2 linked regions of the Cricetulus griseus genome follow. The protein of the gene in region 2 binds, or shares a complex with, the protein of the main gene of each other region. Links are inferred from orthologs where the notes say so. Each region holds a gene or a part of one and is shown on either strand. Other genes may lie near its edges. The genes, in order: Tcaim and Ogdh.

Region 1 (5,917 bases), on a different chromosome or scaffold from region 2:
CAGCTGTGTTTTACAAGATGCCAACAAAGAAAAACAACACTTCTCCAAAGGAAATGAATAGTTTATGTAGAGATAAAAGGCTAAAAATAAAAGCAGGATTCCCATCCCTTAACAGTTAGGCTATGACCATTTGGAGCCCCTAGTCACAGTGGTTTACATAAAAGGCCAGACTCAAGAGGAACACTGTAACACTGACTGCTTGAGAGGGTCATCTGTCCCCACAATAAAAACATGTAACTCCTTAATAGCTATGAAAGAGTTTCTAGGACTAGCAAGATGGCTCTGCTGGTAAAGACACCTGCCACAGAGCCCGCTCTTGAGTTGGATCCCTATGATAGAGACAATCAGCTCTTAAAAGTTGTCCTCTGATCTGTACATACTTTTACACACACAGGAAATAAAAGGGTGTTTTGGCTGGAGATGTAGCTCAGTAGAACACTTGCCCTAACAGGCACAAGTTCCCAAGTTCAGTCTCCAGCACTACACCAAAAAGGGTGGTGTTTGTACCATTGGGCAAAACTGGATGGCAGAGAAATTTCAGCCCGCCCACAGTTATTAGGTAGGCAGGGAGCAACCCTCAGGGTGAAGGTGGTGTAGACAAGACCAGATCCTGCCAGGCTGTGGGCAAGCAGGGTCCCTGCAGAGGTGGGATTTTGGTGTGAAGTGAGCCTAAGGAAATTGACTGATAGTCAGGATAGGGCTGTGTACTTTGGGCTTGAGACTGGGGAGGTCTGCCCTTGATGCCATCAAGTGACTGCACCCTGAGATGCTGAGAAGCACAGGCTGTCCCTCCTCCAGTGTGCTTCCAGGTACCCATAGAGAGCACACCCACACCCACCACCACCACCACCTGGCCTACACTGCCCTCAGTGAAGAACCTCTGGCTGCTATGTGCCCAGTGTTTAGGCTCCAGTAGTGAACTGCCCTTGGCCCTTCATCTCATGTGCCCACTTCTCAAAGCCTTCCTGTCACTCATCAACTCAGAGGCTCCTTAGGGGTAGAGGCCTTTCCAGAGGGGAGGGAGAAGGGCTTTGGCAGCCCATGCTGGGAACAGACAGTCTGGTAGTTAGGGACCTAGCCCCAGCTCTCCTTGTGGGGGCAGCTCAGCTGTGCTCAGAGTGCAGGTCTCTTTGGATCCATTTCACACCAGAGGCTTCACCTGCTCTCTCTGTGGTGGGGGGAAGCACAAATATTCTGAGATGAAGTCCAAAAGATCACTTCTAACAATTTCTTACAACTACTAGTTGTCAAACTTTAACAACCAGAAAACAAGAAAAGCAGCTATATGGTCAACAAGGTATTTTTTTATTATGTAACAATTAGTTTGGAGACAAATCCAGTTCAACACACATCACAGAAGATTCTGTGTTAGCTGATGTTACAAGTGGCATAATCAATTTTCCAATAAACTATCCTATCTTTGTGAACTCTTCCTCCTCCCCCACCCTGAGACAGGGTTTCTTTATGTAACAGCTCTGGCTGTCCTGGAACTTGTTTTGTAGACCAGGCTGTCCTTGAACTCACAGGGATCCACCTGCCTCTGCCTCCTGAGTGCTGGGATTAAAGGCGTGCACCACTAAACCCAACTTGAGGACTCTTTCTTATGTAGAATATTTTGGATAGTATTTATAGCAACATTTGTCTAATTAGCATGGGTCAAAACAATAATGGCACACATACTCCTTTTACAATTCAGTTCTTATTTTGAACATACAATTGAACTGTTTAAATAACTAATGTTTTATAAAAGTCCAAAACATGAAAAACTGACTGTAATGTCTCCTTTGTTCTGATGCACCGTGGGAAAAACTCAGGATTTCCTCAGGGGAGAAGGGCACAGAGACAGAGAGAGAGAGAGAGAGAGAGAGAGAGAGAGAGAGAGAGAGAGAGTGTGTGTGTGTGTGTGTGTGTGTGTGTGTGTGTGTTTGTGTGTGTGTGTGTGTCTGCTCTGAATAGACAGTGGCCTCCCACTATGTGGGAGACATCAGAGATCACAGGAGGCTGCAGGCTGTACCTGGGCCAGTGCTGACAGCTTTTAGGAGGAGCTTCTGGATTAATGACAATAATACATCTGACTCATTCTTGGTACTAGGGATGGAACCCAGGGCCTCTGTCTACCAAATACATGCTCTACAGATATTTTGATTGGTAGAAGAAATCATGTATTTAAATAAACTAGTATCAAACAGTGTTGATAGCATATGTTTAATAGGGTTTTAAAAAATCTTTCTCAATGGGTGGTGGTGGCACATGCCTTTAGTTCCAGTACTCGGGAGGCAGAAGCAGGCGGATCTCTGTGAGTTCCAGCCTGGTCTACTGAGTGAGTGCCAGGACAGCAAGGGCTACACAGAGAAACCCTGTCTTGAAAAACAAAAACAAAAACAAAAACAGAACAAAACAAAAAACAAAAACAGAACTTTCTCAAACAAAACGTGGTTATTTAATTTTTGCTACTCATCAATCATCTGTTTTGAACATAACTGTCCATTACTGGCTACAAAGTGTGTGTGTCTATGAGATGTAACTATGAAGACATACATTGAACTGTGTTGGATGTAAAAATGAGTTCTAGTACTAAAGAGCTATACTGAATGAGGTCAATTTTTATACACACACATCCACTCATATAAAAATATATGACTTACCAAACTCTCTATTACATATCTTTAAAATAGTTTTCTTTCTAAGGATCTTTTTGCCTAGCCATCAGCATCATAAAACTAGGGGATAAAACCTTTGAAAGATAAGTTTCTTAGCATAAAATTACCACAAAGGAAGGCTCACTCCACTTTTAGAGCAGCAGTCAGGAACTGTGTTCTAACCTGTGAACACTAATAATATATCAAACTGAATTTAAATAAATTCAACAGTTTCTCATTTCTCCAGAAAGTAAAACAGCTATCTGTGTTACTTGGTAGCTTCTCCTTTCTTCCAGTCCCAGGGGATGCACAGGTCTCCATCTTGCATAACAGAATAAAAATGTGACACACAGAGGCGCATCCCATGTAGATAAGGCAGGGACTGTCCTAGAAGTCTCTTACAACAGTCCACCATTTGTCTACTAGAAATGCTGGGCTCTTTATATAACTTCTCCAGGGAAAACTTCTTTGTTGAAGCCTGAATCAACTCGTTTTCAATAACTTTTAACCTATTAAATAAAAAAAATTGTCATAAGCTATTATTAAATAAGATAAAATATATATTCTTAAATGTTGGGGTGATTGCATAGTGCCCATACAAGGCAGTCATGGGGAAAAGACATGCCAAGAGTTATCCTGTGCCCAGTACTGGTTGATTTATTTCTACATAAAACTATAAAAGTACTTAATCTTTTTAGCATTAGTGAAGTAAAAATGATACACACTTTATTCCTAATTTCCAAACATTTATTATTTTTAATGTGTATGGACGTTTTGTCTGCATGGATGTCTGTGCATCACCTGTGTGCCCATTGCCCTTGGAAACCAGAATAGGGTGTTGGATTCCCAGAACTGGAGTTACAAATGGTCATGAGGTACAATGTGGGTGCTGGAAATCGAACCTGTGTCCTGTGGAAGAGCAATCAGTGCTCTTAACAGCTGAACCGTCTCTCCAGTCTAATAGTACATAGTTTAAAAAGCTTGCATACACCTCCCCTAGACACTAATAGTGACTAAGTGAAGAAAAAACTACGAGTATAAATCCTTATTAGGATGTTGAGATCAGGCTGTACCCTGCTCCCGAGCTGTTTCTCCCTTCCTGCTCACCATCTGAACCTGCTGTCCTGTCCACCTGTCTGTCCATTCCTTTATGTGGACCCATTCCTACCCTTTCTCCTCTACAAGGGACTCTACAGCTTCAAATCTGTGATGAGGAACCACTGGCTGTCAAGTGATTCCAAGTTATAAACAACACAGAAACAGGACTAGTTTTGAACTGGTTACACTTTAAAGTTTAAATATAACAGGGCTAGAGAGATGGCTCAGCAGTCTTGAGCACTTGTGATTCTCACAGAGATGCAAGTTCAAATGTCAGCACCTACATGGTGGCTCACAACTGCCTGTAACTCCACCTTCAGGGGTTCCAATGCCCTCTTTGGTCCCTGCTGATACCAAGAGAAAAACAGCCATGCATGAATAAAACAACTGAAATGCAGACAATGCATTCTATTATCTGTCTGAAAGTCATGCCCTCAAACATCCTGGAAGTGGACAGCACTTACTCCTCCCTTCTGGTCATGTTCTCTCTTGCCTGCCGAGCTTTGGCTCTCATAAATGACTGGAGGCCTGCTGGATCTGAGAGGGCTGGGATGTTAAAATGTCCAAGTTCATGCAAGGTTGGCTCATACCTGTCACTGAAACAAAGTGTGTATTAAGGGAAACATCACCACTTCCACAGACAATGCTTTTTTTTTTATCTCAAGTGACTAAAGAATAGTCATCAGAAAATCCATATTAAATTACAGCAACAACGATGATGACATGCTGTTGTCTGTGACATGGCAGGGACTAGCTTCAAGGTAAGTCTGTGAATACTTGAGATTGCATTTAACCACATAGGATAATGCAGGTAGCGAGTACACACACACACACACACACACACACACACACACACACACACGTGTGTGTGAGTGCACGCTACCTACTGACTTTACATCATGATTGAGTGATTTACTTCCCTGATCAGTGGCTATGTTTTCAAAGATTGTTGTAGAGATCCACTCTTCAGCCATTCAGCTTGGCTTTTGACATATGCAGAACAGGGCTGTAAATACAATTCTTTTCACAAGTAGTGACATTCTTTGTTTTGTTTTTGATAAGGGGTTGCATTGTTCAGCTGAGGCTGGCTGTGAGTCTCTTCTTCTGCCTTGAGTACTGGGATTAAAGGTGTGTACCATATGCATGGCCTCCATTGTAAAAAATCATTTGAACACATATATAATGTCTCTGTCTGTCTTTGCAAGTGAGTGCAGTGCCTGAGGTGGGCTGGAGCTGGCATCACAGGTGGTTATGAGCTGCCAGACATGGCCCTGGGAACTGAATTGGAATCCTCTGCCAAAGGAGCATCCATTCTTAACTACTGAACCATTCTTCCAGACACTCATTTCTTTCATTATTATATTACTATTAAATTTACAAGAACCATGCTATGAAACAAAAAATCAGGTCATTGTCCTGAAACACATCCATCCGTCCGTCCATCCATCCATTCATCCATCCATCCATCGATCCAGTTCCAGATGTTTACCTGCTGAGGATCATCTGCAAGCCGCTCAGACCTTGAGGGTGGGACGGTACCCTACTTTTCAGCAGCTGATTATAGAACACATTGAGGAGGGAGTAGTACTCATCAATTGTGAATTCTGGCTGTAGCTCTTCGATATAAACCACTTGGATGCCCCCTAGAAGACTGCTTATCTGGTCTTCTAAGACTGACATCCTCCTCTGAAGATCAAAATAATTTGGCAAGCTTTCAAAGAGCTATATTGAAAGAAAAGACATTTAATTTTATGTTACTATAACTTTAGGAGTCCAGCTAATGAGAACATTTTGAAAATTATTTTTGTAAGGGCTGGAGAGATGGCTCAGAGGTTAAGAGCACCAACTGCTCTTCCAGGGGACCTGAGTTCAATTCCCAGCAACCACATGGTGGCTCACAACCATCCGTTATGAGATCTGGTGCCCTCTTTTGGTGTGCAGATATACATGGAAGCAGAAAATTGTATACATAACAAAAAAATCTTTAAAAAATTATTTTTGTAGATGGATTATTCAAGGAAAATACAGTAAAAAAGACAATATAATCCTGGAAGTACTAATATTCAAAACAAACTATCAGTCTAGGGTTTGGATGGGAAGTGAGAAGAGCAGCCTCGGCCACAGAACAAGAAAAGCCCCAGGGAAGATCAAGCCTAGGTGCTGCTCACATTTAAAGACTC
Region 2 (6,063 bases):
GCACAGTAAGCACTTTACTGATAGTGGTATAGGTATCAATGATACCAACTTGCTATGTAAGCATTACATACTAGACCTGACCTGCTCATTATCTTTGAACCAAAGAGTAGAGACAGTAATTATTCTTGTCTCTCTTCTTTCTTTTTGTAATTATAATACAAACATTAAAGCACTTTGTAAACTTCAAGTACTTCTGTGACTAAAGAATTGTAATTTACAAGGAGGTCAACTTACAATTATAACTCATAAGAAGCCAACAGAGATGTCTGAGAAAGTCAAGGTCCCAAGATAAGTAAACATCAGCCACGTTGGTATGGCAATTACTCTAACTTGTGAAACATTAGTAGAGTATCTCCATTATTTAACACAAGACTTACTTAGCCCATCTAGCCACAAGCGGGCCTACATCTAGGAGCACTTCCAAAGTCAGACCACTGAGCTAATCTATGTACCGGAGTGTGAAGACTGCTGTGCTCTTTCTCTATCTGTGGTTCTGCAACATCAGAGGTGCCCAATACTGCAAGGGTCTAAGCAGGCAGACTGGTGAGGGCAGAAGTACAGAAGCACTTTAAGAGGTGTTGCATTATGATACACACCTGTAACCCCAGTACTTTGGAGGTGAAGGGAAGTGCACCTCGAGTTCCAGGCCAGCCTGGATTAATTAGGCCCTATCTCAAAGAAAACAATGTTTATTCTTGTTTTTGTTTTTTTGAGACAGGGTTTCTCTGGGCTTTGGAGGCTGTCCTGGAACTAGCTCTTGTAGACCAGGCTGGTCTTGAACTCATAGAGATCTATCCGCCTGCCTCTGCCTCCCGAGTGCTGGGATCAAAGGCATGCACCACAACTGCCCAGCTGAAAATAATATGTTCTTAAAGAGTGAAAATTATGAAATCTTTATAGAAAGCATGATAATCTGTCAACATTTTATTAAAGCACATAAAGAATTTGTTTCCTGCTAAACTCAGCCACAAACATAAATGTTAAATATAAAACAAAAGTCTCAAAAAGGTTGACAGAAAAAGCAAACTAACTTGAACCTTGAATCTTGGCACCTGAAGAGACTCAGATAGAGCACTGAAAGAGTACCACCCTTGTGGCACATGTTCCAGAATAAGTAATAGAGAAGATCTAAGAAATGCCAACAAGTAGCTGGGCAGTGGTGGCACACGCCTTTAATCCCAGGGCTTGGGAAGCAGAGGCAGGCAGATCTCTCTGAGTGTGAGGCCAGGCTGGTCTATAAGAGCCAGTTCCAGGACAGCCAGAGCTATTACACAGAGAAACCCTGTCTCAAAACAAACAAACAAACAAAAAAGGAAAGTAAAAAAAAGAAAGAAATGCCAACAGATGTAGACAAGAGAAGGCACAAAGCCTATGCTCTTAAGCCAAAGGATAGTGACAGGAGCAGCAAGATGAAAAATTTAAACAATTTTCCTACTGCAGTCAAACACCAGAGAAAACACCATTTAGAAGGCTGAGGCAAGAGGATAATCATGAGTTCAAGGTGAGCCTTGGTTGTATGTATACTGAAAGTAACCCAGAAGAGTCAGTACAAAGAAAGCAGAGAAATGAAACTAGAATAGCTAAATGAAAGCCTTAAATTTTAGCATACCACTATAAATCCTAACATATCAGAAGACCAACAGGCAGTGGATAAAACAAAATCAAGTATATACTTGTCGACAATATCACTTCAAAGATAGTAACACAGAACCTAAAGTTGAAAACACATTATTTCATGCCAGGTAGAGATGACCCACGCCTTTAATCCCAATACTTGGGAGGCTGAGGCAGGCGGATCTCTGTGAGTTTAAGGACAGCCTGGTCTACAGATAGAGTTCCCGGACAGCCAGGGCTACAGAGAAACTCTGTCTTGAAAAATCCACATATTTCTAAGAATGGCCCTATTATTATTTAATAAAGCAGACAGCAAAGAAAAGGCAATTACCAGAGACTGAGAGGGACAGAAAAATAATGAAAAGGTCAATCTATCAAAAAGATAAGCAAACCTAAATGTGTACGTATGGGGGGGGGCCTCCAAGATTGAACAGTGCCACCAAACCTGGCCACCTAAATTCAATCCCCAGGACACACATGGTGAAAGGAGAAAACCAAGTCTCACAAGTTGTCATATGACACCTACTCAAGCGCTGTCACAGGAGCATGTTGTTCCCCTACATACGAATAAATAAATGTTAACTTTTTAAATAAAAAAGAAAACTGCATAATATGGGATGCAAAGTGACAAAGACTAGAAAAAGAGAAAAGTCAATTACAGTGTCACTCATTCTAATGCCACCTCAAGGGCAGGACTACAAGACCAGGCAAACTAGCAAACGCCAACAGTGTCCTCTGCTCAGTGCCATAGCATGGGATGCACAGACACGATTCGGGCCTGTAAGAGTAATGAAATCCACAGAAAATCTGAAAAAAAAAAAAAGCTTACTTTTGTTTTTAGTTACTTGATTCTGCTTAGAGGTGAAGAAGCTGAATTGCACATTCCAACTGGCTTCGCTATATATAGATAACACCTCCGACTTAGGATCATCCTATCTAAATTGTTCTCATGTACCACGAGGCCTCAATTGAAACTGGTGACACCACTGACTTGGGCCTGCAGAGGTGCTCCTTGAGTGACCTTTTGACGTCAAGGGTCTAAAACTCCACCCTCCAATGACAACGGCGCCATTTTCTGATCCTGCAGAGCGAATCAGGAAGTTGGGTTACGCATGCGCACAACACCTAGCCCTTCCCTTCTCATTACCTTTAACTCCCCTTCTCCACACCTCACCCTGTAGATATTCCTGTGCCCTACCCGCGGGGCTCCTGTCTTAACACTGGCGTCTGCCACGTGAGTACTCTTTCCGAACTTGTCATTTCAGCGACAGGCACACTGCTCGGTGGGTAAAAGGAACATGATCTGCTAACTCAGGCGAGAGAGCACGTAGCGGGCTTCCCAGTCACTCAGCGGATTAAGTCACATCTGTCACACACTCTCGCGAGGAAAGCGGTGCGTGGATGGTGTTTCTAGGGAAACCAGTGTCACCTTGGCCCGTTGCCTGTTCTACCTCATACCGGCAGGTGGGGCTGCCGCAGGCACCAAGGTCAGCGCCGTGACCGGGCGCGGCGACCACAAGGACGGCGGCCTGCTGGGGTCAGAGCACGCAGGACAAAAGAACGCGCGCGGGCCGGAGGAAGCGACCGGACCACGTGACGCGCCGCGACCTTGGGGTTCTCCCGGGCCGCCGAGCCACCGACACCCTAGCCCGCCGCCTCCGAAGCTCCGCCGCCAGAGCCAATAGCGCTCGCCCCGGCGACCCCCGGCGCCCGTCCGTGTTCGCCAATCCCCGCCTGCCAGGCGGACCCTGCCACCCCATTGGCTACGACGCCTGTCCATCAGGCCTCGTCCTCCGCCCACCATCGCCGCCCTCCGTCAGCCCGGCTAGGTCCGGCTCCACACCCGTCACTCAGGTGCCCCGGCTGCAAGGGCGTGTAGGCCTCACCCTCGGCCGCAAGCCTCGGGTGTCAAGCGCCGAACCTCCCAGCACTGGACTGAGCCCGTCCGCCGCGCAAGGTTACCTGTCTCCCGTTCTGCTCCACCCGAGTGAGGCGCCGACACCCCACTCCGGGCTCCAAACTCTCGGCCCCGCCCCGGCGTGTGGCGTCAGCGCGTAGCCCGGCCCCAGAGGAGCGGCCTGCACGAAGGCCTGTAGGCGTGTCATGACGTCACGTTTCAGTCACTCCGGCTTCGCGCCAATGCGGAACTTGGCCACTGGCCGAAGTCGGCCTGTTGCTCACCGCGCTTCCACTGTCATTAGTAGTTAAACATGAGAAGCTTCCAAAGCCTGGCTAAGACTCCAGTAAATTCATGGCGTGTGGTGCACTCCTGTAATTGCGGCGTTTGGCGAGCGGAAGCATGAGCGTGGCGACTTAAAGACCCGCCGGCTTTGTATCTGAAACAAGCTGCACTAAATAATAGTTGGGTTGGTGAAATTTACCACTGCACAAAATAATTTGACTAACAAGATCTACATTTTTGAACACTTGTTTTGCAGCAGTCTTTGTGAAGAGTAGTTAGTCCTATTGTATAACAAGTTACACTTGGGTGTTTCTACCTGCATTCTGACAGGAAGCTCTGCTGGGATGCCCCTGGATGGCCTGGCTCCAGAGCCTGCTATAAACAGGCAGAATGCCACTAATTAACCTGTCACACTCCACTGGCCAAGAAATGCTCCCTGTGGTAATATTTTGTTTATGATCTAACAAAGCTTTTCTGAAGATCAGACTGCAAAGCTAGTCACACTAGTTAGCCATAGAGGCCAGGCAGCAGTGGTGCACACCTTTAATCTGAGCATTGGTGAGACAGGAAGACTGATTTCTGTTAGTTCAAGGCCACCCTGAGCTACACGAAATTGATCCAGTCTAAAAGAGAAACAGAGCTCACACAAAGGTGATCGAAGCACTTGGAGTGGCACACCTTTATAGGATTAAAGCACTCCTAGCACTAAGGAGGTGGAGACAGAAAGGGATATGGCTAGGCGGAGAGAGGAGTATAAGGCTGGAGGAGACAGGAGCTGGGGCAGTCTAGCAGTCTAAGCGGTCAGTCTAAGGCAGTTAGTATTTCAATCTGAGGATTTGTGGAGTCAGGATCGCCTATTTGGTCTGAGGTAGAGGTAAGAACTAGTGGCTGGTGGGGGCTGGAGAGATGATGACTCAGCTGTTAAGAGCAGTAGCTGCTCTTCCAGAGGACCCAGGTTCAATTCTCAGCACCTACACAGGAGCTCACAACTGTAATTCCAGGAGATCTGACACCTTCACACAAATACACATAAAGTAAATTTAAAAGAAAAGAAAGAGCTAGTGGCTGGCTGCTTTGCTTCTCTGATCTTCCCCCAGCCCCAATTTCTGACTCTGAGTTTTTATTAAGAACAATTAGAATTCATGTTACAGCTCCTAGTGTAAAAATGTTCAGCCATGTTTGAAAGTACACACCTATAATCCCAGAACTGGGAAGGCTATGACCAATTGGAGTTCAAGATGGACTACATAGAGGTCTTGTGGGTAGTCTGGGCTACATAGCTGGATCCAGTCTCACAAAGGGGAATGGTTCATTTCATTTTCATGTCTTTTGTTGTTTTTGTTTGAGACAGTAGCTCATGCTGGCCTCAAACTCATAATGTAGGCTGGCCTTGAACTCCTGTTCCTTTGCCTCCATATACCAAGTACTAAGATTACAGGCTCATGGCCTTTAACTCCACTCCAATTTCTGTTTTTTAACAGAGTACAGAATATAGGCTCAAAGTTTTTGCTGGACAATAATACAGACTTTAAAATACCTTATGATTTGAGGCAGTTTACCTTTGCCTATGTATGTCAGATGGTACCAGTGCTATGAATGAGACGGTTCAGGAGTCCTTTTGCCCTACTGGAAGAGAAGTCATGAGTAAGCTCTTCAAGATCTGGTCTTTAGCAGCAGTGACAGGCCATGATGCATGGCAGAAACAGCAGCAAATGGCACACCTGAGTTGTCTTCCTTCTCAGGTATTGGAGTCCTGGGCCCTACCAGTGATAAGCTCTTACATGGGGCTAGGAAGCCAAGATTCCTCAGCTCTTGGTTAGAGCTTGCTGTTGTAGCTTAAATGCAGCCTTGGTACTCAGGAGTCCTTGTTCCTCATTCGATCTAAAAGAGAGTCACAGAGAGGTGTCAAATCTTTACCGTCAAGGGTCTCATACCCCACACTGTAACACTGGCTGATTTTGGGCACTAAGGAATCCTGCTTTTCTAGGCCTACACAAGAAAGCTTTCTTTGTGTTATTGCCTCAGTCCATGATACCAGAAGTTTGCAAGAGAGGATCACTCAAGAGAATCCTTTTAAAATTGGACCTAGCCAAGCAGTGGTTTCGAACGCCTTTAATTCCAGCACTTGGGAGACAAAGACAGGTGGAACTGAGTTCGAAGCTAACCTGGTCTACAGAGTGAGTTCCAGGACTACACAGAGAAACCCTGTCTTGAAAAACAACAACAATAAATAAAATAAAACTGGGCCTTCTGTTGCAAAACCAGGG

The links.
Region 1: the proteins of Ogdh (region 2) and Tcaim are in contact, whole or in part, in a cryo-EM structure (PDB 8I0K), measured with the Homo sapiens proteins. The link is inferred for Cricetulus griseus from reciprocal best matches to the Homo sapiens genes OGDH and TCAIM. Residues at the interface, in NP_001425937.1 of Homo sapiens: Gly301, Tyr304, Arg323, Tyr354, Arg356, Ile358, Arg364, Asn365, Lys387, Glu391, Tyr394, Cys395, Gly396, Thr398, Glu399, Lys401, Lys402, Lys561, Met602, Pro605, Glu667, Gly668, Ile669, Asn709, Met734, Ala735, Ser736, Pro737, Asn738, Gln772; in NP_001269842.1 of Homo sapiens: Glu214, Gln234, Arg235, Ser236, Trp237, Gly238, His241, Ser244, His247, Ser248, Arg251, Gln255, Asp272, Arg273, Thr286, Met287, Asp288, Val289, His290, His291, Glu331, Leu332, Gln333, Pro334, Val335, Arg375, Tyr376, Glu441, Ser443, His473.

What each region holds. Positions count from the first base shown.
Region 1 is NC_048597.1:229,756,072-229,761,988, reverse strand, and holds the end of Tcaim (T-cell activation inhibitor, mitochondrial), read right to left. Parts: intron 5,460-5,917; coding exon 5,227-5,459; intron 4,334-5,226; coding exon 4,202-4,333; intron 3,149-4,201; coding exon 2,908-3,148; 3' UTR 1,285-2,907; downstream 1-1,284. UniProt on the Homo sapiens protein: May regulate T-cell apoptosis.
Region 2 is NW_023276807.1:98,577,712-98,583,774, forward strand, and holds the start of Ogdh (2-oxoglutarate dehydrogenase, mitochondrial), read right to left. Parts: upstream 3,700-6,063; 5' UTR 3,577-3,699; intron 2,903-3,576; exon of another isoform or gene 2,762-2,902; intron 2,634-2,761; exon of another isoform or gene 2,444-2,633; intron 1-2,443. UniProt on the Homo sapiens protein: 2-oxoglutarate dehydrogenase (E1o) component of the 2-oxoglutarate dehydrogenase complex (OGDHC). Participates in the first step, rate limiting for the overall conversion of 2-oxoglutarate to succinyl-CoA and CO(2) catalyzed by the whole OGDHC.